Rhinolophus ferrumequinum: one gene and its partners. The protein of the gene in region 1 interacts with the protein of each later gene in a pairwise test. Links are inferred from orthologs where the notes say so. Each region holds a gene or a part of one and is shown on either strand. Other genes may lie near its edges. The genes, in order: RUFY1, UTP25, RAB3IP and RAB39B.

The links.
Region 2: the proteins of RUFY1 (region 1) and UTP25 interact in binary tests that used the Homo sapiens proteins (3 or more experiments, as listed by UniProt). The link is inferred for Rhinolophus ferrumequinum from reciprocal best matches to the Homo sapiens genes RUFY1 and UTP25.
Region 3: the proteins of RUFY1 (region 1) and RAB3IP interact in binary tests that used the Homo sapiens proteins (3 or more experiments, as listed by UniProt). The two-hybrid records come from large-scale screens. The link is inferred for Rhinolophus ferrumequinum from reciprocal best matches to the Homo sapiens genes RUFY1 and RAB3IP.
Region 4: the proteins of RUFY1 (region 1) and RAB39B interact in binary tests that used the Homo sapiens proteins (3 or more experiments, as listed by UniProt). The two-hybrid records come from large-scale screens. The link is inferred for Rhinolophus ferrumequinum from reciprocal best matches to the Homo sapiens genes RUFY1 and RAB39B.

The regions. Positions count from the first base shown.
Region 1 is NC_046307.1:2,763,995-2,771,911, forward strand, and holds the start of RUFY1 (RUN and FYVE domain-containing protein 1), read left to right. Parts: upstream 1-4,474; 5' UTR 4,475-4,514; coding exon 4,515-4,812; intron 4,813-7,917. UniProt on the Homo sapiens protein: Activating adapter involved in cargo sorting from early/recycling endosomes. Regulates retrieval of proteins from endosomes to the trans-Golgi network through interaction with the dynein-dynactin complex.
Region 2 is NC_046305.1:21,753,872-21,761,868, forward strand, and holds the start of UTP25 (U3 small nucleolar RNA-associated protein 25 homolog), read right to left. Parts: upstream 3,319-7,997; 5' UTR 3,216-3,318; coding exon 3,109-3,215; intron 2,288-3,108; coding exon 2,248-2,287; intron 1,612-2,247; coding exon 1,362-1,611; intron 1-1,361. UniProt on the Homo sapiens protein: Component of the ribosomal small subunit processome for the biogenesis of ribosomes, functions in pre-ribosomal RNA (pre-rRNA) processing. Essential for embryonic development in part through the regulation of p53 pathway.
Region 3 is NC_046293.1:65,678,855-65,687,123, forward strand, and holds the start of RAB3IP (rab-3A-interacting protein), read left to right. Parts: upstream 1-5,102; 5' UTR 5,103-5,302; intron 5,303-5,386; exon of another isoform or gene 5,387-5,508; intron 5,509-5,674; exon of another isoform or gene 5,675-5,873; intron 5,874-6,980; 5' UTR 6,981-7,054; intron 7,055-8,269. UniProt on the Homo sapiens protein: Guanine nucleotide exchange factor (GEF) which may activate RAB8A and RAB8B. Promotes the exchange of GDP to GTP, converting inactive GDP-bound Rab proteins into their active GTP-bound form.
Region 4 is NC_046284.1:5,419,367-5,426,863, forward strand, and holds the start of RAB39B (ras-related protein Rab-39B), read left to right. Parts: upstream 1-4,324; 5' UTR 4,325-4,502; coding exon 4,503-4,717; intron 4,718-7,435; coding exon 7,436-7,497. UniProt on the Homo sapiens protein: The small GTPases Rab are key regulators of intracellular membrane trafficking, from the formation of transport vesicles to their fusion with membranes.

The DNA of each region.
Region 1 (7,917 bases):
GTGTTTAACCTAAGCTGACATGCCTCTGCTCCTTGTCCTGGTTTAGCTCCCTGTGGTGTCCTACATCACCCCTTCTCTGGCCACATCACCCCCTTAACGTGTTATCCTATCCCTGCTGGTGAGCAGCTTATTATCAAAGACGTAGAAAACACACTCGAATCTTCTCCGAGAAGTTGCACAACAGTTGCCAGTTTTACCTTCTTGGTCATTAGATGTCCACTCCATGTTCCAGTCGTCTGGTCCAGGTACAGAATATCTCCTAGTAAAATATTCTGTTGCTTCTGTAAATACAGATAGAAGAGATAACCTGATTTGTGTGGTACAATTTGTTCATAAAGAAACACTGTATAGAATAAGAAGGGGGAGGAGGAGGAGAAGGATAAGAAACAATATTTGGTCTCTGCTCCTGGTTCCTGGCACAGAGCTCCTAAAACCCGTGTACTTTTCCTGAGTAATGGGGGACATAGTTGTATCTTTCGTTATTTCTAATAAGTGCCATTCAACCATACCTGAGTTTATGCTGATGAGGTGACTCAGGGAGGATGAGGGCTGTTGTCAAAAGAATCAACCATGTAATTAGAGGGTTGGAACATTCATCCCCACCACTGGACCTCCAGGGACGTGAGAGGGGCTAGAGATTGAGTTCAACCACCCAACTTCATCAATCCTGCCCAAGTCATGGAACCTCCATAAAAAGCCTCAACAATGAGGTTCAGAGATCTTCCAGGTTGCTGAACACATCAAGGTGCTGGGAGGATGGCGTGCCCAGAGGGGCATAGCCACTCCACATCTGTCTCACACAGCTTGTCCCACATATCTCTACCAGTTAGCTGTTCCTGAGTTGTATCCTTTGCAATCAACGGTTAAAGTGCTTTCCTCAATACCGTGAGTCATGCTAGTAAATTGCCAAATCCAAGGAGGGGGTCGTGCAAATCCCCAGTTGATAGCCAGTCGGTCAAAAGTACCAGAGGCCCACACTAGTGATTGGCCTCTGCAGTCTTGTGGGGTCTGCACCCACTCTGCGCAATTAGCATCAGAAGTATAGTGAGTAAGGAGAGTTTTCCTATTAGGTGATTACGCTTTCACCTGCTAGACATTGATGGATGCCATCTCAGAAACAGCACCTGCATCTCAGTCAGTCACAGCCACCACAACAAGCTACAAGTTTTAAACTCAAAATATTCACCTGTGGGTATTTTGCCCTAGTCCCTGCAGTTACAAGGCCATTTAGAGAAGCAAGTCTTCATAAAATTAAAATATTCACTAATGAGTATGTTAGCAGTACCCCTTATAAAATCTGTTACCGCTTATAAAATTAGTCCCTCCTCAAAGCTCACTTCCTGCTGAAGCCCAAAGCACTGTCCCCAGTACGGACCCGATGGCCAGCCAGTCTCTCACCAGCTGGCAGATGTCTACAAGGCCAATCAACTGTACAGTGAAACTGTGCATCTTGCACAGGATGCAAGATTTCACGAGTAAACAAAAGTGATGCTCAGGTCCCCCTCAATTCCCACACAAAGCCCCTACACGTAGGGTCGGCAGAAAAGGAAGTCAACGCTGATGAACTTCAAAACAGAATGGTTGGAAAAAAATAATGAATTTACAACTTATATTAAAAGTAAAGAGTGAGCTCAGATAGGCTCACAGTATAGAGTAATAATACCATAAAATGGCTTGTGTTTTCCAATAAGCAATCCCATGAAAGCAGCCAGAAGAATGAATAGCATTGTGAACAGGATTAGTTTACTGCTTTTGGCCTATTCGCTTGAGTACTAGCTATGTGCAAACAGATACAACTAAAATGGAAATGGAACCACAGGGGAAAAAAAGAGATATGATAGGTCTATAAAAGATTGAAGAGAACTTGAGAAATAAGATGAAGCCTAAGTTTTGGACCCTCTTTCTGAGTCCACCATAAATCAGCTAAAATGAATGATGCTATGTCTTGATATCAGGTAATTTTTCAGAAAAATTATACAAAAGAATCAGCATTTGTTCATTTTTGTATTCATTCTAAAAACCAGCACATGGTTGCAAGCATAGTCTACATTTTATTAAATATAAGATCAAATATACTTATTTTCTTAATTTATGTTTTCATTTTTTAAAAAAAAAATGTCAAGCCTTTTTTGGTGATTTTTCACTTCATGGAACATTGGCTGCTGTTGCAAACAGATTCACTTTTTTACATATCTTTTTACTTTTTCTTATGAAAATACAGACATTCAGAAAAGTAGAGGGAATATGTAATAACTCTCGTACACTTGTTACCTAGATTTCAAAAGTGTCAAGCTCTTGCCACATTTGCATCATCTATTTTCTTTTGCTGAAGTATTTTAAAATAAATTATAGACATCATAACATATCACTACTTGATACTCTAATGCAGCTGTAAAAATAAAGGCCTTTTCCTACACACCCACAATCCATTATCATACTTAAAAAATTAATTCTGCAATATCTAATATCCACATTCAAGTTCCCCCAATTGACAAAAACCAATCTTTCCCAGCAGGTAATTCTGGTCTCTTCAGGTTGCCTCTTCATTCTATTAACTTTTGCTCCAAAAGACGCATTAGAGCTGATCATCCAGCTAGGTCTTATTTTCGGGGAAACACGGTATATCTTCTATAATGCCCCATTTACAATTCTGAAATGAAATTCATAGATAATAAACCTACCTACCAACACTCAAAATCTCAAAAAATTAGTATGTCCTAAGAGAAATAACTCCATAATATGTATTTCAATATGTAAATGAGGCACAACTACCACTAAAAGCAATGTAACTATTTGTACCTTTATATAAAATAGCCATGACTGTGACAGACAGCACTGGCATCATCTTAACATCTCCAGCATTGTTGTGGGTGACATGATGTTCTGAAACGGTTAATAACTTTTAGGTTCTGAACAAATCAATTTTGTTGCATTCTGGGAAAATTCAAAATGCATTTCTGGTAGTCATTATTCTGTTCACCAATATTCCCAGTTCTCCTATTCCACTAATAGGATTGAACTTCCCAATTCTATTGAAGTTAGAGTTGCTATGTGACTTGCTTTGGCCAATGAAATGTGTATAAGGGAATAATCACTTCAAGGCTGGGGCATTTACTATTGATGCAAAACTGCTCCAAGTGACAGAACCTCCAACAGCCCGGCATAATGACAAACTTCTGTTATGGGAAGATACTGATATTTGGGGGTTGTTACTGAAGCATAACCTAGCCTGATATAGTATTAAAACTGTTCCCCTCAAGAATAGTTTATGTTTTTATGCAAAATGGAATTAGGCTCCAGGCTCTGATCATTATAAACAAGCTTTGCACTTACATGAATGTCCAGGGGGAAGGAGAGTCCTGAAGGATCCTGGACAACTCTTTGTCATTCCAAACTACCCGACACCCCATCCGCCCCTCCACTCCTCAATCACTGTGACAACTCAAATGTCATCCCCACCAATTCCCCCACTCACTCCCCACTCCACAAAAAACAATTGGCCTTCAGGGATCAGGCAGATCATGACTAGTACACTGGGCTGGACCTACACGCCTAGAGAACCTGGGCTTCTGAAGGGCAGCCACTGCCCACTCCACTAGTTCGCCGCCATCAGCAAACATACTGAGTTGCCAAATCTTCCGATGCTTCAAGGGACAGCCAAAATCCAGCTTTTTATGCAAAACCGGTTGATTTCTAGATATCTGCAACAACCTGAAAATTTAAAATGTAAGCACTCTGGGAGTCAAACCAAACAGTTCTGCTTGTTTGATGGTGCCCACGTGCAGCACTTTGCAAAAAAAAAAAAAAAAAAAAAGTGTCAAATGCTGGTGAAATTTGAGTTTCTACTTTGTCAAATTCCCTTCTTTTCCAAGTGCCAAAACAGGCTATAAGTCGTTAAGAGTGCCTTGCCTAAGCCGCATAGTTGGGTAACAGCCATCACGATTGCTAACGTTTGCTCCGTGCTCCTTACTGCAAAATCTTACTTAAATAATGAGGTAGGTTGTTATTGTCCCCCTTTAGCCAATTAATAGCAGAATCTGGACCTTCAGATTTCCAATCCACCTCAGTGGATTTTCTGCCAAGCTGTGGCATTAGGTCCGTAATTTTTTAAAACTTCTGTTTCCTACCTCTCCAGTCCGTTTCCTTACCCGCCCTTTTGCTTGTTCTGAAGACTGCTGCAGAAAAGTGAAATAGAAAAAGCAAAATATGAAATGAAAATAAAAAAGAGGAACTCGTGTCACAAAGAAAACTAAGGCCATGTGGGCTGTGTTCTAGGCTGGGACCAAGAGTAACTTCACGGAAAAAAGTCCTCCCGACTGGTGGGAATAGGGGCGCTCCTTAGGTTATGACCGGTACTTTCCTGAACCTACTTAGAGTGGGAGGGAGGGAGGGAGGGAGGGTGGTGAAGAAGAAGACCGACGTCGCGAACAGGAAAACAGGACAGCAAGGGTGTGAGAGCGCCGGCCCGCCCGCCCCGAGCACGCGGCCCGCTCGGGCCACGTGACGCGGCCAAGATGGCCGACGGGGGAGCCAGCTGCTCGGCGGGGCGGGAGCTCGGGCCAGGGCCGGAGCAGGCGCAGGAGCCGGAGCCGGGAGAAGAGTTCGAGATCGTGGACCGGAGCCAGCTGCCGGGCCCGGGCGAGCTGCGGAGTGCAGCGAGACGGCGGGCCGCGGCGGACGGCTGGTCCGCGCCCATCCTGACCCTGGCGCGCAGGGCCACCGGCAACCTGTCGGCGAGCTGCGGGAGCGCGCTGCGTGCGGCCGCGGGACTGGGCAGCGCGGGCGGCGGCGCCGACGGCGCGGCGCCGGCAGGTAGGTCCGGCGAGCGCGTCCCGCCCGTTCTCCGCTCGGGTCAGGGGGTGGTTGGCTGTAGGAGGGCGGCAGACAAGACCCTGTTAGACTGGTCGTAAGAAGCCAGTGTGTTCACGCGCCTGGCTTCTCTTCTGATTTCTCTACACTCTGCGGCTGCGCAGAGATGAATTCGTGGCTTGGGTGGTGACTCCCACTTGTGTTCCCCAGACAACGTCGTTATATTCATTGGTGGGCCTTAAGAAAATGTACGAGTTTGAGCTCAGGTTATCTGTATGGGATTTAAAAAGCACTTAAGTAAATCCAGGACTTCTGCCGTAAATCTCAAAATGCCAGCCCAGCTCACACCTGCAGGTGTGACAGCGCATCCACTCTCCGCAAGGAGTCAAGTCACCACATTTCCCAGCCAGTAAAATGGGGAGTTTTGATTCACCCAGTGATTCCCTACAGTGCTTTCAGCCCTTGTCATTAGTGAGAAGAATGGAAACATTAAATGTGTGACTCAGTGGCCCACGGGGGGCTTGTGGCTACGTATTGCATAGTGCACTGGGGACATTTTCTTCTGCATAGGAAAGTGCTGTGGGGCAGAGCTGACTAAAGACTGGAGTGCTCTTTAAGAAGCATTAGTGTGCCTTGGAGGTTTCTTGATTCTGTCCTACCCACTGGCAACTTTTCCAGAATAGTGAATTTTGAGAATCTCAGTGGTTAAGAAAGATTAAGGAGTAAAGTTTAAAATCTGACTTCTTTTCAGATTCTGACAATGGAAAGTAGGACTAAAAGGTAATGAGGGGCTGCTCTACCCAGGAATCTGGTCCCCAATCCCTTGCCCGCTTTGTGCATGTCAGTGAGTGTTTGCACACCCACCCACTGGCAGTCAGTCCCAGAGTCAAGGCCTGGGGTCTTCTGGAGGCCTCTCAGATAGTTCATGGTAGGTAGTAAGCAAATAATGTTACCTGTTCACTGATGAATAAAATGTTCCAATGCCCAGAACAGTGCCTAGCTCAGAATAATAAATATTCGAACAAATGCCTATTTGAAAAATACTTGTTTTCCATTTATGAGCTATGAATAATAGCCAACACTTGTATTGTGCTTACTGGGTGCCAGTTATTAGTCTTAGATCTGTACATAATTCATTTAATCCTCACTGTAATCCTGCATAATAGCAGGACTGGCTTCATGGTGTGTAATCGATGCAGGCTTTGGTTAATGTGGTCCAACAGGGACAGGCACTGAGAAATGACCCATGCTTGAAATTCTTAGTAATTATATCTCTGAATTTGTGTTTTGTAAGTGAAGGAGCGAACAAAGGAGCATGTGTGGGGGTCTTGGAGTCGGACTCACGTGTGGTCCCACCTTCCACTGCCTCCGTGGGACAGGTTCTCAGCCGCCCTGGCCCACTCAGACTACCCTGGGGCACTGCTGGCCTAAGCAGGGTTGGGGTCTTGCCTTTTGAATCTTAGAGTGTCCACTGCCATGCCGCACCAGGCTGGCAGTGCCACAGCACAGTAGGCAGGCAACCGGGCCTCTCATCCTCCCCAGAGGGTGGTCCCCATCTCTGTAGGAAGGTGCAATGCCTTAGGACCCACGAAGGGGAGACTGACTTCCTCGCCTTTCCACATGGAGCCAGCCCATGTGATAGGTACCATTTTATCCCCGTTTTAGAAAGGAGGGAAACTGACTTAAAGAGTAACTTAGAAATGGCAGAGCCCATACTTGAACCAAGACACCTGCCTCTCAAGCCATGCTGTTAGTCACAACACCCCAATGCCTCGATACCTCTAAATAGTTTTATGGTAAAATGCCTTAATATATGCGTATGGATTTTTTAATTAGATTTAATATTTTAATGAAAATATTAAATAAATGCCACTCAGATCTGGCAAAAATTGTGAACATGACTGAACAAGGACTGAAATGTGGGAAACAGCTGGGAGAAGCTGTGGGCTAGTCCACGAAGGTCACCGGGATTTGGAGCCATCCAATAGGACAGGAGTGGAGGTGGCGAAAGGAGGTGGACCCGGGCACCAGGCTGGGCAGAGGCCCCCGAACAGCAGGTCAGGAGAAGACAGTGGCCCCGCTTCAGCAGGCTCATTCGTGTCTTTCCCACCAATCTGCTTCCATAAGTGATGAGGATGCAGCGTTGTCAGAGGGAGCAGTGAAGGAACAGAGGTCGAGTGTCAGCAGGCCCCATCCCAGAAAAAAATTGGGGGTAATAAAGGTTAAAGGGAAACACTGTGGAATGTTGTGGAATGCTCTGAGTATTTGTTGTACAGCATTATCCCACGTGAGGTCTGGTAGCAGCACAGCAGGCCACAGCAATTGCATTCACATAGTTGTCTTATTTGGTTTTTTATTTTTTAAATATTCTTTCTCTCTCTCTTTCTCTTTCTTTCATTTATTTATTATTGGGGAACAGTGTGTTTCTCCAGGGCCCATCAGCTCCAAGTTGTTGTGGAGGGCACAGCTCACTGGCCCTTGTGGGAATCAAACCGGCAACCCTGTTGTTCAGAGCTTGCGCTCTAAACAACTGGGCCATCCAGCCTCCCTGATTTATTTTTTTAAGATAATAAACGTGCATGGTGGGGGAAAAAAAACATCTAACCATACTAAAGAAGACTTGTATAGAGGCAGTCCTTCATTCCAGAAACTGACCTCAATCCTGTTCGATCTTTCAAAGGGTGTGTATGCTTGTAGCTATCCTTTCATCTACACAGTTTTCATGAAAACCACAGGACATACACACAAAGTTCCACATCTTGCTTTCTAGAGTGATGTCTCTTCCTAAAGGATGAATAGCAAAACATACATGTTTATGGAATTAATGAGCCCAGCACAGTGGGTACTCACTGGAGAAGGCATTCTTTGATTTTAAAATTATATTTGCCATTAAGTAGATGGTACATATTTGTGCCTTTTTCTGTTCTCTCCCATGACAAATTTTATTTTGTGCTGCAGCTCCTTCCAAAATGAAGCACAACAACTTTTTCCACTTCACATTGCTAAATTCCTTAAGTTAGCCATTAAGATAAGTGAATATTCCTGACAATTACAAAAGTGTAAAAACAGTTTCCTTTGTTGTCAGTACAAGATAACACCATACTGAAC
Region 2 (7,997 bases), on another chromosome or scaffold:
ACAATGAAATACTACGTAATTAAGAAATGTTAAAACAGTTAAACACATGGAAAAATGTCCATGGTGTATTATTAAAGCAAAAAGTAACAGAAACGTATGAGGCCATTATTCACATACACACAAATATATATACATACTTGCACTGGCCCATGTATCTATAAAAAAAGCAGTCTGGAAGGTTATATAAAATGTTAGTGTTTATCTCTAAGTGGTGGGGAAATAGATTAACTATATTACCTTCTTAAATTTCTACAGTAAACACGTGTTAGTTTTATAATTTTAAAAAAAAAGCAACCTTCATTTTGAAAAAACAAAACAAAAATATCCCTAAGTCTGAGGCAATGAATTTTTATCCTAGTAAAACTAATAAAATACTAGGAATGGTGTGTGACACCTTCAAGTATAGAAAAAAATATGCAGTAAAGAAAATAGGCATTAAGACAGTGAGATATAGTCACCTAGATATATTCAGACAATGAAATGCTACTCCAGCAATAAAATGTAATGAATTCATAATACATAAACAACATGGCTGAATCATGAGGAGTCAAAGAAGCCAGATGCAAAAGGGTACGTACTGTATGCTTCCAATTTTATAAATTTCTAGAACAGGCAAAACTAATGTATAGTGAAAGAAAGCAGGTCAGTGGTTGTCCAATGTTAGGGGTAGGAAATTGGCTGTAAAAGGACAAGAAGGAACTTTCTGGAGGCATTAGAGATGTTCTGTATCTTGATTGTGACAGTAATAATACAGACATATACATTTGTCAAAAATCATTGAGTTATATACTTTAAATGGTACACTTTATTGTATGTAAATCACACCTCAATAATGGTGATTTTAAAGTTAAAGACAAAAGTCACCTAGAAATCTGAGTGAGAAAGTTCCTTTATGTTTTCAATCCCAGCTCTTCTCTGAAGCTTTCCCTCGGTGGCATGTGACCACTTGGCATCTCTTCAAGATTGTTTATCTAGCTGTTCCATAAAAATCTGCTACTTGACAATTTTTGTATATTTGTGTCTACTTTCCATTAAACTTGGTTTCTCTTAAGGGATGAACAGAAGTCTCTCTAATAAACTGAGACCATCACAAAAACAATTATGGTTTCGTTCCTCTGAATCAGGGAAACTTTAACTAGGATTGATGAAAGTCCTGGAAATCCTAAGCAAAAATGTTTTTCTGGTGAGAAGGTTCTATGTTTTCATCAGATTCTCAAAGACATCACTGAAGCCAACAAGGTTAAGAATCTCTCTTTGGCTCCACGTGCTGTCACCCAACTCACAGTACAGGGCAGTGTGCCCATGGGGCAATCTGTCAATGGTCCTGGCACAGAGGATGAACCCACACCAAAGATACTTACTCTCCCGCGGTTCAGTGGACTCTGCCGCTGTTTCTTCCTCCACACTGACATCACTGTCACCATCTTCATCGTTCATTTCTGCTTCATCTACAATACTGTCTTCTTCTTCTTCCTCCTCCTCCTCCTCCTCTTCTTCCTCCTCTTCCTCGGAAACAGTCTTTAATGTGGCCAGTAGTTTGTGGTACCCAGAAACTTGTTCTGGTTCACTCTCTGCTTCACTTTCAGAACTTGAAGTATCTGAACTCTCTGACTAAAAGGATAACGGGGATTTTAAAAACCAAATGATATTGCTCTCATTGCTACCCTATAACTATTATCAGGCCAATCGTGTAACAGGTTCAGACTTTCCTATATAAAAATTAGCTCTTCAGTGCTCGCTTCAGCAGCACATATACTAAAAAATTAGCTCTTCTGCAAACACACAATCCTATCTATTTGGCCAAGCCCAGCACCAAATTTATTTAAAATAGCTCATCTAGCTAAGACCCTAGAAGCTCTTCATTTCTGAACTGCTAATGTTCCCCATGGGAAGAAAGCTGACATAGAGCTTTAGGCTATAAGGAGACCTAATCTATGTGTCAGGCACTTGGCCCATTTAAAGGAGCAACAGGAAAATTACAATACAACAAAGTACTGTAGGCTGGTAAGCCTCTTGAACAGGTTCTAATAGATTGATCTCTTGGGGCAGTTTCAAAATCCAGTTACTGCTGTAATTATCACAACAGCATTGTAAGACATCTGCATTCAAAATGAAGCAGCATTACTAAAATAACAGCTTACATCTAAAATCAAAAAGAGTGGAAATACAGCCAAACTTTATTATTACATATAATCTTAAAAGTAACAATCCAAAACCAACTATTATAAAGAAGGAATAAAGCTTTACCAGTTGACAAATCTGTGGTTTTGTTTCCTTTCTGGAAACCCTGAAAAGAAACAGGTAATGTTAAACTACAAGTATGTAGCAATTAGCAAAAAGCCTAATGATACAACTGTAAATGAAAAACGCAGAATATACCATTATAAACACATTATAACTACAGTTGACATAACTATAGTCATGTAAAAACTACACACGCACTGGGACAAGGATTGTAAGAGTAGAACAAGTTTATAATAACTTACAAATGAAAAGTTTCACGAGGTCACATGACAAATACATGAGTCACCCAACAACTGGCTCTCATCCAAAAGATGGCTAAATTTGGCAAATAAAAGACCTCGGGTTCACCTTTTCTAGCAAATTTCTTAATTAGACTATCCCTCTAATGTACTGATAAAACGGCCCAAAGTGGTGGTGTGAGCACCAAGATCGTCACTGAGAGGCTGGAAACGTACAACTACCAATGCAGCAGTTTCCTCATTGTACTTGGACAGATCAGTGGTGTCGGAGGCCCCCTCAAACAATTCTTTAAAAACACACACACCAAAAAACAATCTAGAAAATCTATGACCATACAATCCAGCCCACACACGGCGGGCGTGTGGTCTAGCATAAAGTGACAGGCTCAACAAAAGGTAGGAAGACGTGTGAAGAACCCCTTCTCAGGCGGGATGCCGCCAGAATCCTCCCCAGCACCAACCGGGCCAGACCCTGAGCACAGCGGACGCCGGGAAACGTGGGAAGAGGCGGGAGCGCCCCGTTACTTACCATCCCATGGAAAACCGGTGGACCAAATCCGGGGAAACGTGGGCTCCCACTGGGAAAAGACGCGGCAGCTCTGGCCCCAGTCATGCCCCTCCATACCTGTCATAGAAGGGATGCTCCTCGCCGAAATCCCGAAGATGCTTCTTCTGCTTTTTAGTCAGGGTGCTGAGCAGCTGGCTCTGGCTCCGGCTCCCGCGTTTGCCCATAGCGAAAAATCAAGTCGGTCTGATTTCAAACGCCGCGTTTCCCACCAGGAAGTTGTCTCGCCAACCCACTCGCATGGGCTCGCCGGAAGCGCTTTACGGCAAAAGCGAGTTGCCATAAAGCAGACCCGCTTTACGTCGCGCTTGTACGACCGTGTTGGAACTTCCTGGTCTCGCTTCCGCCTCCTAGCGAAGCTCTTTGGAAACACATGCACGCATGCTTACGTATTTGTTCTTTGAGTCCTAGGACGTTGGCGGGTAGGCTGGGGGCTGCGAGGGTTGGGTGATACGGTGGGCGTGCTTTGTGATTCTGTTTTGGCTGTGGGATTCAGCCTGCGGAAACATGCAATAGCGGAGATGGTTGAAGGCAGTGATTTCGTATTATACCATAATAAAAATACCAATTCAAGGTGCCGGCACATCTCACTTCATCCTCACAACGCTACACAAATAGGTCTTTTTAATAAGCCTGACACTGCAGATGAAACCGACGCTTAGGAAAGGTTACACACTAACAAGAGAGGAGATGGAAACTGAAGTCTGTCTGAGGCGACCACGGGCTATTACCCACGAGGGTCTGCCACATGCGTGTGCTATATCAAGAATCTCAGACACAAGACTGAGATCTCCGCTCTCACCCCTCCCTCATTTTCTGAAAGGGTTGGAACAACTAGAAACATTCTTCATGTTACAAGAGCAGACACACACAGAGAGGTAAAGTGACTTTCCTAAAATTACCCAGAAAGCCAGATGTTGGAAGAAGCAGTAGAACTCAACCCCATGTCTCACAACTAAACTCTGGCAAAGGTGGATGGAAAACTTGAAGGTGCAGTATCTTGATCATGAAGATACGTTCTGTATCTTGATCGTGGAGGTTGTTAACACCTTGTGTACAATTACCAAAATTAATCAAACTGTGCATTTAAACTTGGTGAATTTTAATGTATGTAAATAATAGCCTCAGTAAACAAAGAAGGAAAAAGCAAAAAACAAAACTGGACGCATACTCCAGGAACATGCAGAATGTGCAGGGCTACTTGAGACCACGGGATGAACACAGCGACCCTTTTCTCCTAATAATAACTTATAATGTCATGTTCTATGAAAACAAAGTGGTAATTCATAGACCTCAAAATTCACCTGAATTTTTAAGGTGAAACAGGATCCATCAAAGAGAGTGCTGGGCTCTGCTACTAGGGGTGTGTTTCTCTGGGAAAATCTGAGCTTTGTCCAATACCATGTCACACCTGCAGAAGTCGTACTAGAGCTGCTAGGATCCTATTCTTGTCAGTTCTAGTGACTATCTACTACTCTTAATCAGATTCTGGGATATCAGGGTGGGGTAGAGAGGGCAGGTAGAGGGAGTATCAAGGAAATATGCCAACAGCAGGTGGTGTAGCAGCTGGCCCAGCCAAGGAACCCACGAACAAACAGACTTCTGTCTTCTGTCTAATAAAAGGTACCGTCACTTATGTCAACAAAAGGCTGTTTGCAAAATGTCATCATATATTTTAAGGTGCTAACTATAGTAATACCCGGCTATAACAATAAAGAGTCAGATGTTTTTTTCTCCTCCCTCCCTATCCCAAATGTCCCAGCTTCCCTCCCCAGAGGCAACCAGTTTCTTGGTATTCTTCCAGAGATCTTCTATAAAAAGCTATACTCTTGAGCACTTGAAGTGACTCCTTACTCTCTCCTGGTTTCCATATCCTCATAGTCTTCTGGACAGGTCTAGACTGTTCCCAGGTTTAGGCAAGAATGTGTCCCAGCCCTTCCCAAGCGGTCTCCTCATTGGCTCACTGAGCAATGGAAAGGGGTCCCCTCTTCTCCTGAAAAAATTTATATTAGCCTTTAACAACATAAAAGGGGACCCTTTGTGAAATTTTAACGTGAGAGTCCAGAATTTGAACTTTTTTTTCCACACCTCCCGTGAAAATTCTCTTAGTAAAACCCACACTAGTGAAGTGTGAACTAGTGAAGGCCCTGGGAAAATTGTAATGAAGCAAAATTTGTTCTCTTTCTCCTTCCCACACACAGCCTTCCTTTTTCCTCCTCCAGGGTTTTCTTTTACCTTTACCCTCAGGCACTCAGTATTCTCAGGGATAAAGGCAGACCGGGAAATAATCTTTTATGCTCCTTCCTAGAGAGGTGTTTATCAATTGTTACTTTTCCCAGAGCGTTTGTAATTCCCAGGAGATTCCCCAGGATAATGATCTCAAGGGGTGGGAGAGAAATGACTGTCCCTTAAGACAAGAATATCAGAATAGTCAGGAAGGTGTTAATAATATTTTTAAAAACCTTTGGGAAATTTCAAGTATATACAAAAGTAGCCAAAATGGTATAACGCATTCCTATGTACCCATTACTCAGTTTCAACAAGTATCAACACAAAGCCATCTTGTTTCATATATACGCCCACCCAGTGCTCCTGACTCCCCTCTGCATTATTTTTGAAGCAAATCCCAGGCATTAAACTATTTCATCTGTAAATATTTTAGTATGCATTTTTAAAAGATAAGGGTTCTTTCTTTAACATAGTCACAATGGCATTATTTCACCTACAAAAAGTGATAATAATTATTTAATACCATCATATAACCAGTCAGTGTTTAAATTCTGATTGTCTCATAAATGTGGTCTGTTGTTTTTTGTTTGTTTGTTTTTACACTTTGCTGGTTTTATGTGTTCTGCTGTTCTGTATATTTCTCACAAATAGGTTGTGGGATCCAGAACTTTGATCAGACTTCATTATAGTTGGTATTTTATATTCCCATCAGAAGTATAATTTCTGGTTGCCTTTCATTGTGGGACGTTACCAGCCATTGGTGCTTAATGTCTAAATTTGTTAATTTATTAGATGTTGCATTCTATTAATAATTCTATCATAGGGGGGTGATGTTCTAATTCTATCATTTCTTCTTCACTTACTTGCTGGACTATTTCCATGATGACAGACATCTCCTTTATGTAAATTTGCGTTACCCCGTGGTATAGTTTACATAGGAAAGGCAGAATAAATGCTTGATTCTCTCCCTTCATTTACTAATTTTCAACACAAGGAGCTAATTCACTAGATCTCCTAATGGTGATTCATCAAGTCTTTGCTTTTATTTTTGGTGTCATTATTAACTCACAGAGTTATACAAATTGATGTGTTTTAATCCCTTGCAAACATTATGGTGTATATGGTTTGAGAGAGATTATTTGATATACAGCTCTGTATTTGAAAAGACAGATAAACAAACTGCTCTCTAATGCAAACTACAGAAAGTAAGCAGAGGTCTACCTGAGATTCTCAGTGGTATGGGGGTAGGTCTGCCTGAGATTCTCAGCGGTATGGGGGCACCCAACTTGAGGATACAGATCAGATAGTGGGTACGTTTGAGTTTTGAAACTTACATGGTAACAAGGGCACATGTGTTCAAGACATGTTTACAGGGAGCCGTATGTAATCCAAAGTATGACTCTCTAATGATGAAAGTCCAGACAGCTCAGCTACTGATCTGGGAAGATTCAGGGGATGGTGTGTGTACACGTGTGCGTATGTGTGAGTGTGTGAGTACACGCGTGCACACGTGCCCTGCATCTTCCTCCCCCAGAGGATTTAAATCAGAGTTTCCTTCATACGAGACCAGCCCCTCCACCACATGCATACACACGTGTCTGTGCACACCCCAAAGTAATCCAGCCTCTCCCTGAGAGTACTGGCAGAAATCAGTCTTTTGCTATCCTTATAATGAAATGAGCTTATTTATTTATTCAAAAAAAATATTTACTAACCACTGTGTGTCAGGTGTGCTAGCCGCTGAGGCAGCTAAGATCCAGGCCAGCCTCTTTAAGGAGTTTACAGTCCAGGTATGGATAAGTACACAGATCATCACAACACACTGTGATGAATGCTGAACTGACACACGCTGGTTGCTGAGGAAGCTAAGGACAAAGTTAGGGGCCCGGGGGCCTAGTCGGGGAGGGAGAATCCAGTGCAGTTGAGCGTTTGCCAGTCATATGCATTGAACATTAGTATTGACCTCAAAATTGATCTAGAGTCTAGAGCTTAGGCTGTATGGGTTGTTTCAGCTAACTTCATGAACAGCGTGTGTGTGTGTGTGTGTGTTCAAGACAGGATATGAGGGATATAGAACAACAGGAAATTAGAAAGCTGTGTAGTCATTGGATTCCACAGTATTTATTGTGTATGGAGCAATGAGCTATCTAGGTGGAGCATATTTTAGAAAACGAGATTATGTCTGCAAACAGAAAAGCTTTGTAATGTACTTAAATGCACTCTACATAACACAGGAATGTAAAATATTATTATATATAGTTCCTACCCTTTCTATTTAACTGTACCCACAAGAGGTACCTGTTGTCAAACCCAGAGCCTGGCATATAGTGACCTTTAATAAATATGTTTCCTCAGGTTTCTCAGAGATTGAGTTACATTAGGTCTTGCCTAAAACTGAAATAGTTTACCAGATTATGTTAATCTAATTAAGAACAAGCCTAGAAACTATGCTGGAGGGGGTAAAGGTTTATATCCCTCCCTCTAGTGGAGCATTGGTATAACTACACCCTGTTTTTCATATTTTCTGGCAAAGGCTCAGCATGCATACATACGTTCATTCATCAATTCATTTACTAAACAGTTCATTCATTCATAAATGAATACGTTCATTCATTCATTTACTAAACAGTTACTGTGTTCCAGGCATGATGCTAAGAATCGAGGATTTAAAAAGCTCAGACCTGGGGCCGGCCCCGTGGCTCAGGTGGTTGGAGCTCTGT
Region 3 (8,269 bases), on another chromosome or scaffold:
AGTAGCTCTGTGACTTTGGATAAAGCACTTCATCTTTCTGGGTCTCAGGTTCCTCATTTGTGAAAATAGGTGGTGAGGTGAGATGACTAGAGGTTTCCTCCAGCTCTAATATTTTATGACTCTGTAATTACATTTAGAGCTTTCATAGCATAACTGTGATCATTCCCAGTTATACCAAATATCCTCTCTTTGAATGCAGAGTTGGTTTTTTTGGAACAGATAAAATTTATCAGAGTCAAGTCTATTAATACTATGTATGAGAAAGGTAGACTACACTGTTTTTAAAGCTTGGAATTATCATCGATGCTTTCTTTGCCTTTTTTTCTGTATATTGAGTTGCAAGTGGCCAAAAACCCAACAGAGACTGGCTTAAGCAAAGAGAAAATTACTGTCTCATACAACTAAAAAGTTCAGGTGCTTCAGCTTCAGTCACAACTTGATCCAGGACGTCAAATAACGTGATCAGGACTCACACTGGGTCTTTTTACCTCTCAGATCTGCCTACTCCCTGTCAGTCCCATTCTCAGCCATGTTCTCCATTGCCAGCTACTGTCATTGCCTGCTTGAGTCATTTGCTTATTATGAACTAATCCCAGAGACCAGAGACCAAGATTCTTGAATTGGGTATGCGTGGGTCACATGCTCACCTTGAAGTGGGGGGGGGGGAATTCAGTTCCATTTGAATCATGTGAACCGAACATGGTGAAAGTGTACTTCCCCAAATAAAGTCATTGTGCTGATCCCCAAAAGGATAACGATGCTGAATATGAAAGAGAGGGAGCGAGGGAGGATCTAATTACTTGTTGCGTCAGACAAATTCATCCTCTGAAATGTTTTTCCTTGCCTGTTTTCATTGCAATATAAGCACTCACTATCTCATAGTAGCTTCCTATCTAATTTCTTTACCTCTAGTCATTCCTCACTCAAGTACGTTGTCGGCATTGCCACCACGTTCCTCTTCCTAAAGCACTGTTTTGATCATTTCACTCTCCAGCTCAAAGTCTTACAGGAACGCTCTTCTGACCACCACATGGCATTTATGAAATACAATCTGGCTCCCATGGACATTTATGAGCTACAATCTGGCTCCCATGTATCTTTCTAGGCTTATCTACCTGCAGTTGTTCCATGTGCTAACTAATCTGCATTGCTCACCATCCCTGAACACACTGCATGTTTTCCTTACAACGTCTTTGCTCTATTTGTATGTTCTACCCCATCACTGTTTCTTTGACCCTAAGTCTGATCTCTGATGATGAGCCAGACTGCTAGTTTTCTCCAGTATTTGTCCTCCCATTCTTCTTTAGTATTAGAACCACTGATTTTTAGCTGGGCACATGGCCACTTAAAAGAGACTACATGTTTGAACATCACTTAGTCAAGTTCTGACCAATAGGTGTAAGTGTGGTGATGTATACAACTTCTCCACATGTTCTTAAGTAAAGGCGCGTGCTCTTTTCTTCCCCTATCTCCTTTCTATGTTCTGGAAATAAGGATGTGATAGCTGGAGCTTGAGCAGCCATCATGGACCATAAGGCAGGAGCTGCATGTTCAAGATGGTGAAGATACAAGAGAGAAGACGGCTGTGTCCACGTTGATCAGAGAGCCACCACATCAACCCTGGACTTCCTACATTTGCAGGAGAGGAATAAATTTTATTTTGCTTAAGTTACTGTTATTTTGAGTTTTTAACTGCTATGGAAACCAATCTCTCCATGAAAAGATTATAAATATACAACATTGTATATATACATGTAAATATACAACATTTTCTGAACTTTGAAAATAGAACAGAGGCAAACAAGCAATAAAAATTATAACTAAGGGTAACAACCTTACAATGATTTGTTCAATTTTAAATTTCTAGATATCTGCACTCATCTCCTTTGTTTTCTGGTCCCAGGTATGGATGGGAAAGTCTTAAGATTTAAAAAAATATATAATATTATTTTATATGTTGTATTTTCCATTCAAAATCTAAGCAAAATGGGGGCATTATTTTAAGGATACAAGGATTTCTCACAGAACACATGGGAAATGATGAATGAGGGAAGTCTCAGAAATAGACTGGAACCCGGGACTGAAACACTGTGGGGAGCCAGGAAGCCCTCTCATTAAGTCTCACCTCTCCTTCTCTTTCCTCTTCCTGCAGATTATTTATGTACCTGGCAGAGAGAAGCAATCAATAAATATGTGTTTAATGGATGGCAAATTGTGTGTGTCTGTGAAATAAACGGGATCCAAAGCCCATTCTCAAAACATTTCCTTATACGTATGTAGCTTGTTAAAGTGACTCTTTTGAAGGAAACCATACTTTTTAGAGTCTAAGCTCCTTTCTCTCAGCCCTCAGATCTTTTCAGTCGTTCATTCCAACATTAGAAAAATGGCCTGAAATGCAGAGTTGTATATAAGTGACCTAATGAAAGATACTTTAGAGACAGTTCTGTTTTTGTACAGGAGTCGCGAAGGCAAATTTTTATGGGAATGTGAGCAGTGAGCACTGACACACAAGTAACTATTTTGCTAGACAAGGAAATGATAGATTGCCCTTGGTACTTTTTTCCCAGTAACCACACCCCCTTTTTTTTCCTCTTTATTATTTACTGTCTGAGTTCCTGCTTTTACCTAGTTTTGCCCTTGAGGGTTCTTGTCAGCTGATTGATATGTTTGATAAGATGTTTCATATATTTTATTTAGCACTTTTAGTTGTTTTTGGTGGGAGAATCAACCAGTATCTAGTCTGCCATACTGCTGGACATGAAATCCAGTATGCTTTTTTTTTAAAAAAAGAGTTTTAACTTCATTTGTTTGTAATATATTACCCTGCATTCTGCAGACCAGAGCCCTGACTCTGGTGATCCAAGTTCTCCATCTGTAACAATGAAGAATAACTACCTTTATACCTATGTCAAATTATTTTTTTGTAAAGGACTCATGACATACTTTATGTGAAGTCTGGAAAGTACCATGTAAATATAATTACTGGAAAGTACCATGTAAATATACAACATTTTCTGAATTTTGAAAATAAAACAGAGGCAAACAAGCAATAAAAATTATAACTAAGGGTAACAACCTTACAATGATTTGTTCAATTTTAAATTTCTAGATATCTGCACTCGTCTCCTTTGTTTTCTGGTCCCAGGTATGGATGGGAAAGTCTTAAGATTTAAAAAAATATATAATATTATTTTATATGTTGTATTTGACATTAGTTGTATACTGTCATTTATTTTTCAACGAAAGAGAAAGGAGGCAAACTTGAGCACACTACAAAATCACACTACAAAATATAGTGTGATTTTCAGCACACTAAAAATCATGTTTTTAAAGTGGTGAAGTATCTATCTCTTTAACTTATGGTTGGGCAATCTAACTTAGGATGCTCACAACACATTATATATTTTGCAGGCTGAGATTCTGAGTATCTAACACTCTGTAATGTACTTTGGTTTCTGTGCTGCAAGGACACTAAAGTATTATTGTAGGTAACTACCCATATCACTCTCTGCATTCTCAAACTATGATGGCAGATTAAGTATGTGAGAGAAAACACCTGTAAGTACTCATAGATTCCAAATAGCCTCATGGATAGTGGGTGATTTGTAAATAAACCAACATCGGATTTAGACCTATGGCTATCGCTTACTATTTCCTACAGATGAACGATGTCTAAGGTCCTATGTAGAATATATTATAGGACTGGTCCTGTAAACACTTCTATACCAAGAGAGTACATCTCCATGTATGTCATTCACCCATTCTGCATTTATTGAGCCAGCCCTACTACATGTCAGGCCTTGTGCCTGTTCTCAAGAAGCTCACAGTAATTGACATACGTGTATTTGTCTCCCTCACTATGTTTGAGTCTGTGGTCGAGATTATGTGTAATGGTTTCTATGTCCCTTTGTCCAGCAGTAGGCACATAGATGGAGCACAATAAATGTCTGATGAATGAATGGCATTCATTCATGACATGACATGAACGACATGGTATAAGGAAGAGTAGTTAGGAGTCTATTAATGAGGAAGGTCATATTTAGCAGCAGTGAATATGAGGTAGGATAGATTTAAGAATTATTTGGGAATTTGAATGGATAGGACTTGATATATGGGAAATGTGGTATAAATGAGTAAATAACGACTTTCTAGGTTTCTGTTTGGATTATAGGTGGATGATAAGAGTAATAATGTTATTAATAATACAGCTAATATTCGTCAGGCACTCTGTGTCATGCGGTACACTAAGTGTTTACATTATTTAACCATTTAATCTCTCAACGACTCAGTGAGGTAAGTACTCTTACCATCTTCCTTTACTGTTCAGAAAATTGGGGCTATTTAAAGATTAACTTGCCCAAGGTCACACAGCTAGTAGGTGGCAAATTCAAACCCAGGAATTCTGATTCCTATAGCCATACACATAACCTACTCTCTTATTCACTGCCTCGAATAGATGTACTCAATATACAGAATGATGATCCTATTCCATGTGTGTATTACATAAGTTGCACGTATCCATTTTAGTTAGACAGAGACACACGCGGTGATTGCTCTTTTTGATCAGATTTTAGGGGCTTGGTTGTGTACTTTCACTTTTCCTACCTGGAGTTCCTAAAGAAGTGTGGAAGTTTGATAGAGTTGACACAAAAGATGAGAGAAGGCAGGTACAGAAACGACATTCTCGAATGCTCTAGCAGCAGCTGGGATGACGGGATCTGGGTTCTATCGGACTCTCCACTCCCCACCCCCAACACCCCCGACACACACCCACACGCGCACGTTATAAGGTCTATATGGACACCAAGTTTCTCAGGTTGGTTCTAGCAGTTGTTAACTAACATCGAAGGTTCTTTTTCCGTCTCCGGCCGAGCCTAGCACACTCGAAGTTAACCCAAGACCTCCTATGGGGCCCAGGGAAACAAGGCTGTGCGCCGACTCGGGCTCGTTCCCCGGGAAACCGCCCTCAGCAACACCTGAGGCCCAAACCCCGGTACCTGGGAAAAGCACCTCTAGGCGCCAGGGGGCGCGGGAGCGCGCAGGCCCCTCGGGCCCCACGAGGCACCGCCCCAGCCCCGCCCCCAGCCGGCCTCCCCACGGCGGGGCCGGGCCGCTTCAGGCCCCGCTCACGGCGCAGGCGCAGTCCCACGCTCCCTCGGCGGCTCCCGGCGCAGTGCGCCCGCCGCGGCGAAGTGTAGCGGCGTCGGCCGGCGGTCGTCCGCCTCTCGCTGCTTGGGGGCGCGCTCTGTGGGGTTCTGTGAGCGCCCCTGAGCGCGGGCAGCGGCCGTCGTGGGTTCGTCAGGTGAGTGCGGCCGCGGGACGGAGAGGCCCGCGGCGCGGAGCACCGCCCCCCCTTGGCGCCCGCCTCACGCGAGCCGGCCTGGGGGGCGGCCGTGGCAGGTGCAGCTGCGGGCGCGGCGGAGGGTGCGGTGCACGGAGATCCGACCCGGATGCCTGGCCCGGCCAGCGCGCGCCCTCGCCTCGGCACGCGCGGGCTCCGGGACCCCAGTAAGCGGCGGCGGAGGCGCGGGGCTCTGGGCATCTGGGCACCCCCAGGGACCGCCGGTGGACGTCGGGCGGCGGCGGCTCCTCCCCCGCTCCCCGGGCACGGGCGCGTTACTCATTAACTGCGCGGTCCCGAGCACCCACGGCTGGGAGCCCGGAGCTGGGTTACCTGTAGGCGGGGCGCGCGCGGCTGAGGGCACGGGGTCGCGGAGGGGAGTCGAAAGAGAGTTCCCGAGTAAGTCTGGAGCTCGGTTCAGCGCAGGAGCCGGATCGTGGTGAAGCTGTAGGCGTGGACCAGGGGTCTCAGTGAAAGACGTGTGAGGCACCATCTCGAGGCGCAGAGGTCACTCTCGGGAGGTTTCGGTGAAACCTGGTGGGCAAGAACAAGCGCCCTGGAGTCGTGCCGTAGGAGGCAGCCCAGTTCAGCCTGACTTTTGTTTCGGGGAGTTGAGACGAGCTGCACAGACAGACATTATTGTGATTACATTGCTCTTCCAGCGATGACATCTCGCTCCGACCGCCGGGGGAAAAGCGAGCTTAATGGATTCTGGAAGTGATGGTGTTTGGTGGGACCTACAGCGCGAGAAGAGTAGCCAGTGGTTAAGGGATTAAAAAAAACAATCTGTAAATGGCTAAAGGGTAAATTGAGAGCGCTGAGTTAATACCGATTCCTAAGAGGCAAACAATTTAGTTTCGAGGAAATACAACATATTCCAAAGGCTACCTGTTTCACACTCTTGTGTTTCTCTCTCCAGCTCCTTCATTTTAGTGTAGGGAAAGATCCGTGTAATCTTTTGCCATGGAATGATTACATAATTGGAGCAGAGGCCGATAAGAGGATTAAAGCAAAACTGTTCCATTGTAAATCTATTGAAAGACCCAGTTTCTGTTCATTATCCTCACCCTCATTTTTTGTTCATGCAGTTAAAAAAACAAAACGTGAATGACAAATCAAGGAGAAGAGGCAGAATACATTTGTAGACCTATCATAGTGAATATCTGATGCTGTTAAATATTCCACCAGTTTTATGGGGCCTTGTTCTGTTAACATTTGTTATTTATTTACTAGTACTGTGCATTTTGATAGGACTTTTCATTTTTGGGTGGACGTTGTATCCCAAATATGGATTAAGTGATCTAATCCTGAAGCCCTTGTGGAATGTATAGAAAAAACTTAGCAGTTATGTACAATTTTACTACAATGGTGTATTTCTTGCTGTTAGAAGAAAAGCCTTTTAATTTTTTTCTTTTTCCACTACCTTAGTGCATACCTTTTTGAATCAGAGTGGATACATTTGTTTTTTTTTAGGTTACTTAATCTATTTCTCCTTCTAATTTTTTTTTTTTTTTTAAAGGAGGACGCAACCCATGCGCGGCTCAAACTGGCAACCTTGGGTTATTAGCGCCAACTGAGCTAACCGGCCACCCCCAAAAGTGGATACATTTAATACAGCTCTTTTTTATGTGTTTGGCAGTCAACCCACTCCGTGGTATTGAATACCTCTAACCTCTCATCTGGATGGATATTTGATGTTCAGCTGCTTGTGGGGTTTGTAATCAGCCAGGTTTCTAATTAGATACAATTGTACTTTTTGAATTAGTGTCCTTATGTATCTTCTTCCTTTAATATTTTTCCTCTATTTTTCCCTAAACCCTCAACCACCCCAACACACATACAGACACTCCACAAATAACTTTTAAAGTTGAAAGATTCTTAGAAATCTAGCTCCCCATCATTTTTTTTTAATATGGCAGAACAAAAGCTTGTAGGTTACAGTAGTTTTACATACATTATTGTGGTTATAGTATTCACCTCCTTTCCTCTCATCCTGAGCAGGACTCATTGAATCAATTAGCTGGCCAAATGAAAAATTATTAAATCTTAAAACAATTCTTTTTGTAAGTTTTAGCTCCCTTTACTTACTGTGCATGTGACCTTGAGTAAATCACTTCACCTCCCTGAGTTTATTTTCTCCATTTGTGAATTGATACAGTATTAGATGGAACCATATGAATTTGCTAGTCGTCACCTGTTTTTCATATGGTTCAACCTAATATTAAGTTTTTAATGGATGAAATTTAGGGAGATACTCCACATGGGATGTGAGGAGGTGGGGCAAGGGAGACATATAAACTTGACAGTGGGCCAGGCCCAGTGCTCTTGCTTTAGGTCCCTGTCTCCTTTAGTCCTGGGGACATTCCTGGGATATAGGTGGGATTGCGTTTTACAGTTTAGGAAGTTGAGGCTCAGAGAGGTGAAATAACTTGCCTATGGTTACTTATTTGCCAATGGTGATATAGCTGATTAATGGCAGAGCCAGGTTTAAAAACTGAGTGTGACTGCCCAAAATGGAACTCTTAATGTGCTTGCTTCTTCCATTCCTGGTCTACACACCTTCTGAAAGGTGTTCTTATCATTTGTATTTCTGGCTTAAAAAATATTCCAGTTTTCTGATGATGGTGATATACTGGCACCATTGGGTAGAGTTTCCCATGTATCAGGTTCTGGTCTAAGCACTATAGAAATTTCCTCTCACAGTGACCTAGGAGTTAGGTAATCCCTAATTCCATCCCTTTTTATAGTTGAGAGAGGTAGCGTGCCCAAGATCACACAGCTAAATGAAGTTACAGGACTAGATTAGTCAGGCAGTTTGTTTTAATGTCCATGCTCCTAGCCATTGCGCTCTCCTACTTCCACGTGTGTAGGTTGTAATGCTGAAGAATTGTTTTTAATTTAGCTCTCATGAGATACTTAACGTAATAA
Region 4 (7,497 bases), on another chromosome or scaffold:
AGATGGCTTTGTAGCTTCTACCAGATAGTCCCCAGCCGGTCACAGGCAGGGGATGACCTGGGCCTGCACCAGAGACCCTGCCAAGAAGTTCCAGAACCAACAAACCTGGAGGTCAGCTTCAAACCACAGCAGAGCACCACCAAATTAGCCCCACAAGAGCACACATTGAGGGTGGTCTGAACAGGCACCAGAGCTCACTAGGTTGAATCCTGCTTCTTGGGATAAGCCCCCTGCACAACAGCCTGTAAGCTATGGACATGGTAATACCACACAGCTAGTCAGCCTGAGGATCAATCCCACCCAGGGACATGCCAATAAAAATCAAGGCTCAACTATAACATCAGGGCACACAAAACCTACAGAAAGGACACTCCTGGCACAGGTGACCAGAGAGACTGTGCCACTGGGCCCCAGAGAGCACCTACTGCATAAGACCACCTGGCCAAGATGGTGAGACATAGCAGATCTACCTAATACATAGAAACAAACACAGGAAGGCAGCCAAAATGAGAAAATGAAGACATCTGCCCCAAATTAAAGAACAGGAGAAAACTTCAGAAAAACTACTAAACAAAATGGAGGCAAGCAACCTACCATACACAATTCAAAACAATGGTTATAAGGAAGCTCAAGAACTTCAAGTAAGAGATAGCAAGCATAAAAAAGGACACAGAAATGATAAAAAAGAAATGAGTCAGATGTAAAGAATACAATAAATGAATGAAGAATGCACTAAAAGGAATCACCAGCAGATTACATGAAGCAAAGGATGAATTCACGCAAAGGTAGCATAAATCACCCAATCAAAACAGCAAAAAGATAAAAGAATCCAAAAAGAAATGAGGATAGTTTAAGGGAACTCTGGGACAACATCAAACGTACCAACATTCGTATTACTAGGGTACCAGAAGGGGAAGAGAGAAAGCAAAGGATTGAGAACCTATTTGAAGAAATAAAGGCTGTAAACTTTCTTAACCTGTCGAAAGAAATAGACAAGCCCAGGAAGTGCAGAGGTTCCCAAACAAGATGAACCCAAAGAGGCCCACACCAAGATACGTTATAATTAAAATGAAAAAGGTTAAAGACAAAGAGAAAATCCTAAAAGCAGCAAGAGAAAGACAACTAGTTACTTACAAGGGAGCTCCCATAAGATTTCCAGCTGATTTCTCAACAGAAACTGCAGGCAAGAAGGGATTGGCACAAAATATTCAAAGTGATGAAAAGCAATGATCTACAACTAAGACTACCCAAGAAGGCTATCATTTAAAATTGAAGGAGAGATAAAAAGCTTCCCAGACAAGGAAAAGTTAAAGGAGTTCATCACCACCAAACCAGTATACAGGAAATGTTAAAGGGACTTCTTTAAGAAGAAAAAAGGGTGGGGGAAGAACATAAAAATGAATGATAATGGCAATAACTATGTATCTATCAACAATCACTTTCAATGTAAATGGATTAAATGCTCCAATCAAAAGACATAGGGTGGCTGAAGTGATAAGAAAACAAGACCCATGCATAGGCTGACTACAATAGACTCACTTACATTGAAAGACACACGCAGAGTGAAAGTAAAGGGATGGAAAAGATATTTCATGCAAATGGAAATGACAAAAAAGCTGGGGTAGCAATTCTTTTATGACAAAATAGACTTTAAAACAAAGGCTATAATAAGAGACAAAGAGGGACATTACATAATGATAAAGGGAGCAATCCAACAAGAGGCTATAACCCTCATAAACATTTATGCACCCAACATAGAAGCACCTAAATATATAAAGCAAATATAAACCGACATAAAGGGAGAGAAAGACAGTAATACATTCATAGTAGGGGACTTTAACACCCCATTTACACCAATGGACAGATCTACCAGACATAAAATCAATAAGAAACAGCAGACTTAAATGACACACTACACCCGATGGATTTAATTGATATTTTTAGAGCATTTCACCCTAAGGCAGAAGAATATACATTCTTTTCATCTGTACATGAAACATTTTCCAAGTTAGATGACAGGTTAAGCCACAAAACAAGTCTCAATAAATTTAAGAAGATTGAAATCATATCAAGTGTCTTCTCTGGCCACAATGGTATAAAACTAGAAATCGATTACCAGAAAAAAAACTGAAAAACACACAAACACATGGAAGCTAAATAATATGCTACTAAATAATGAATGGGTCAACAATGAGATCAAGGAAGAAATCAAAAGATACCTTGACACAAATGAAAATGAAAACACATTGACTCAAAATCTATGGGACACAGTGAAAGCAGTCCGAAAAAATAAATTCATAGCAATGCAGGCCTACCTAAAGAAACAAGAAAAATCTCAAACAGCCTAACTTTACACCTAAGGAAACTGGAAAAAGAACAGAACAGCAAACAAAGCCCAACATGATTAAAACAAAGGAAATTGTAAAGATCAGAAAGGAAATAAACAAAATAGAGTCTAAAAGAACAATACAAAAGAGCAATGAAACCAAGAGCTGGTTCTTTGAAAAGATAAACAAAATTGATAAACTTTTAACCTGACTCATCAAGAAAAAAAGAGAGATGACCCATATACATAAAATCAGAAATGAAAGAATGACAACTGATATCACAGAAATACAAAAGATTATAAGAAAATATTACGAACAATTATATGCCAACAAATTAGACAACCTGGAAGACATGGATAAATTCCTGGAAACATGCAATCTTTCAAGACTGAAACAAAAAGAAACAGAAAATCTGAACTGACCAATTACCACTAATGAAATTGAATCAATAATCAAAAAACTCCCAACAAACAAAATTCAGCATCCATTTATGAGAGAAAAAAAAAAAATACTCTCAGCAAAATGGGAATAGAGGGAACACACCTAAACATAATACAGGCCACATATGACAAACCCATAGCTAAGAGTATATTCATCTAGTAAAAGCATTCTCCTTAAGATTAGAAACAAGACAAGGATGCCTAATTTTATTTAACATAGTACTGGAATTCCTAGCCAGAGCAATCAGAAAAGAAAAAGATATAAAAGTATCCAAATTGGAAAAGAAGAAGTAAAACTCTCATTATTTGCAGATGACATGATGCAGATGACGTTCTCTATATATAGAGAACCTGAAAGATTTTGCCAAAAAACTATTAGAACTATTAGTGTTTGCCTAGCGCTAGGAGGGAAGAGGGACAGAGGGATGTTGGCTAAAAGGTAGAAGCTTCTTTTTGAGGTGATGAAAATATTTTAAATTTATGGTGATGGCTGCACAACTCTATGACTTCATTGAGTTGTGCACTTTAAGTGACCGAATTGTGTGGTATGTGAATTATACATCAATAAAACTGTTTAAAAAATGAAAAAAAAATGAGTAAAACCATTATAAAAGATTACATATGAAAAGCACAAAGGATTTAAAGAGGCAATTCCCAGAGGAAATGCAAATGGCCACTGCACAAGAGCTCATTAGTAGTCAGGAAATGTAAAATAAACCAGCGACACTTTTTTATTTAACTACATCAGATTGGCAAGAAGTATGAAAGAATATAACATACGATGCTTGAAATAATGCAAAGAAATGGATTTTTCAGAAATTGCTGACTAGAATTTAAATTGGTAAATATTTTTTGCAAATTACATGTAATGCCTATATCCATTAAAGTACGCATGCTCTTTGACTTACTAAACCCTCTTGTAAGAGTCTATTCCATGGGAATAATGTATGCGTGACTATACTTAAGAAAATGTTTATTGCAGCATTGTCATGGCAAACTAAGATTAGTTGGAAACGGAAAGATGTCTATGATTCTTTGTTAATTGGAAAAAGCGAGTGCCAGAGTAATGGGTCAGTTTTTGTAAAATTAAAAAGCAATCAATGTATATGTATACATATGTTTTATTATATATGTATATGTCTATATGTGTATACACACACATACATATAGACGTAAATACATTTTCATGGAAATCCGTAGGAAGAGTATGTACCAAGCGTTATGTTAATATCTTGGGGAGGGAGGGGGCAGATAATTATGGACTTTCTTTTCTGTGTACATTTTTGTATTGTTTCCCCAGTTTTAATGAAAAAATATTACTTTTGCAATTTGAAAGATAGATAGATAACCTTTTTAATTAAGAAGAGGGGGTGGGCGGAGGAATTAGAAAGGAAGGGAAGGGGCGTTTTTTCGGCTGTTTTCCTGTGCGCTCCTTTTACAGACAGTGCGGCGGCCGCGGACGTCGCGTCTACGCGGGGGATTACAGTAGCCCGGTTGTCAGTGATGAGTCAGAGTGCGTGGTGCTGATGCTGCTGCCATTTCATCACCTCAGTGAGCGCAGCATCCATCCCTCAGCTCTCCCTGCGCCTGGGCCTACCTCGCCTCGGGCTCCCAGGCAAGCGATGCGCTCGCGGTGCATTTAGATCCGGACCGAGCCGCGCTCTCCGAGGCCTGGGCGAGACACCCCCTCTCGCCGCACACGGCCCGGGCCAAGGAGACCTGCCGACCCCCGGCCATGGAAGCCATCTGGCTGTACCAGTTCCGGCTCATTGTCATCGGGGATTCCACGGTGGGCAAGTCCTGTCTCATCCGCCGCTTCACCGAGGGCCGCTTTGCCCAGGTTTCGGACCCCACCGTGGGGGTGGATTTTTTCTCCCGTCTGGTGGAGATCGAGCCAGGAAAACGCATCAAGCTCCAGATCTGGGATACCGCGGGTCAAGAGAGGTTCAGGTGGGAGCGCAGCCCGGGCCCGCGGGCAGTGGGAGGGTCTTCGGAGCGTGCACAGCCCCTGGGGAAAGAGGACTTCCCGGTCCTGGTCGCGGCCCTTAGGGACGTTACCGAAGGTCTAGGGGTTTCTGCTTAAGCCCACCTTCAGCGACCCGCGCGTGCGGTGCAGGGAAAGAAGCGCCCTGGCAGGGAAGGCCGGTCAATAATACGTATTGCTTGCACCACAACTCCACCAACCTGCCCCTTGGTGGCTAACAAACCATCTGGAATTGATCACTGTAATTCGTCAATCTTGGTCCCTATGCTACGTACTTTTAAAAATGTTCCCAGGTCATCCCAACATAACTGAAGGATACAGACAGGTGATATGGAGACAGAAACAGAGATAGACATAGGTTCAGATACAGATATAGTATTCATATACATACGAAAGAGGTACTGGGGATTCATTCCTTCCTGCAACCAGCGCACAGTCAGTGATCACCCCACTGCATGCCAGGCATCAGGCTTCTTTCTGAGGAAACTCACACAAGGAGATGCCATGTAAACAAAACAGACACAGGCCCTTCCCTCTGAGAAGTGTGCTAGCATAGTGGGGAGAAGTAGATAATCAGCAATTACACAAAAGACTGTCTTGTTTATATTTGGGTGCTCACTCCCAACTATAACTTTTAGCATTTAATGAGTAATCAATGAACAGGTTCAATCTTCTTGTACAACCCTTTGCTTTTCATTTGTAGTATGTATCATTTGGAATTCTATGTATAATATATACAGAGGAGGGAAGGCTACCTGGCAAAGATGAGGCCTGACGAGGATGACAGGAAAAGCCCAGGGAGAGGAAACGGCATGTGTAAAGACAGAAGTGGGAGAGAGCAATGTACACAGAAAACTTTGAGGGATCAATCTGAGCTAAAGGCACATAGAGCATCAGGAGCTAGAACAAAAGGACTCAATAGCCCATGTTCAAGATGATTTATTTATCGAACAGTAATTGAGCATAGAAAATACTGATTAGGTAGTTGAAAAGGGGTAAGGAGAAGAGCTAACTCGAACTTAAGTTGTCTCCAACTCCCCACTTCCACGGACAACACCCTGGCAAATATCCTTGTACAGGTTCACTTTGAACTTATAAATGCATTTTGCATATTATAAGTGAAGTGTCTTTTATGTGTTTATTGGAATATCTCTATGAACAGCCTTTTCATATCCACTGATCATTATTATTGGGTGATATTGATTTGTAAGAGTTCTTTTTAGATTAGGAATATTAATGCTTTTCTGTCACATATGTTGTAAAATATTTTCCCAGTTTGTCGTTTGTCTTTGAACTTTAAGAAAATCTTTTTGATGTACAGAAGGTCTTAATTTTTATGTAGCCTTATGTTGTGCTTAGAAAGGTCTTCGTTACTTCCTAAATACTAATACCATAATGTATTTTAGAGTTTTGAAAGGGCTCTAGAGCTTGCTTATTGATGTTTTGAGCCAAGCTGTTCACAAAGCAAAACCTTTGTTTGATCATGTCGAATCTTCTGGTACACCTCCCATTATCCATGAATCTTCAAACATAAGGGAATTAGAAACAGCTTCCTTTCCTGGGGCTGATTTGCCAGGTTCTGGAGACTTGGAATCATTTGTAAGGTTTGCTCTTACCATCGTCTAGTTGGGACTTTAATCCCCTGGATGTTTGCTCTGTTATCATTGAGTCATTTGCCCTAAGCTATAAGCTATTGAGTCCTTCATTATTTATCTTCTTCATCCAAGAAAACAGATGAAACCTAAAAATAGACATAAATCAAAAAGCACAGTAGTCTAAAGCAAGTGATTGTAGAAGCAAATAATTCTACACCCTCTAATAAGCTCTAAAGTACCATGATGTATATTGATAATGAATCTCCTCAAATCAAGAAGTTAAAATAGATGAGGTTTCTTCTGTTTAAGAAGCACAGCAAATGTATAATAGGTTTTAGAAATATTCTAATTATAATGCTTTAACTAAATCATGTCATTTTAAGGGGAAACTTTGAAGATTTAGGCAGTTTTTTTCCAGCTGGTGGCTCCGTATTCAGCCTCTCTGAAATATGGCAGGAAGTATGGCTGAGAGGCACTTTGCCCAAGGCCTTTGCAGACCACCTATCTCTTTTTCCTATTCTTAATGGTCTGGGTGCAAAAAAAAAACAGAATTGTGTTTCTCCTCACAGAAGAGATTGAGGACCACTGTTAGATTAAAATAATAATAATAATAATAATAATAGAAAAATAGAAAGGCAAACGTGGTAATGATAGATGGGAAAAAATGGAGTGTGTTACAATATACCTATATACTTATGAGCATTTTCTCAATCATTATAAAGTCATTTTTAAAAATGTTTAGAATTTGTAATGAGCTCTCCAGATCACAGAACACGTTAACATCCATTATTTCATTTTGCCTCATGATAACTGACTTAGGTATCCCATTTCGCAGAACAAGACATCTCATTCAGTTATTCAGATGTGGGGGTGGGAGAGTTAGCTGTGCTTCTACCCGAATCGATAGGAAATGCCTGTGTCATGAGCATTCATTTGTAGAAGATGCCATCTCAAAACTTGGCCCAATTGAAAATTCACATATTATTATTATTATTATTATTATTATTATTATTATTGAGTGACATTTGTATTCGGTTGCACAGCAGTTTGGGCATGGCCTTCATTCTTGACTTCTTTCTTGTGTTTTAGGTCCATCACTCGCGCCTACTACAGGAACTCAGTAGGTGGCCTTCTCTTATTTGACATTACCA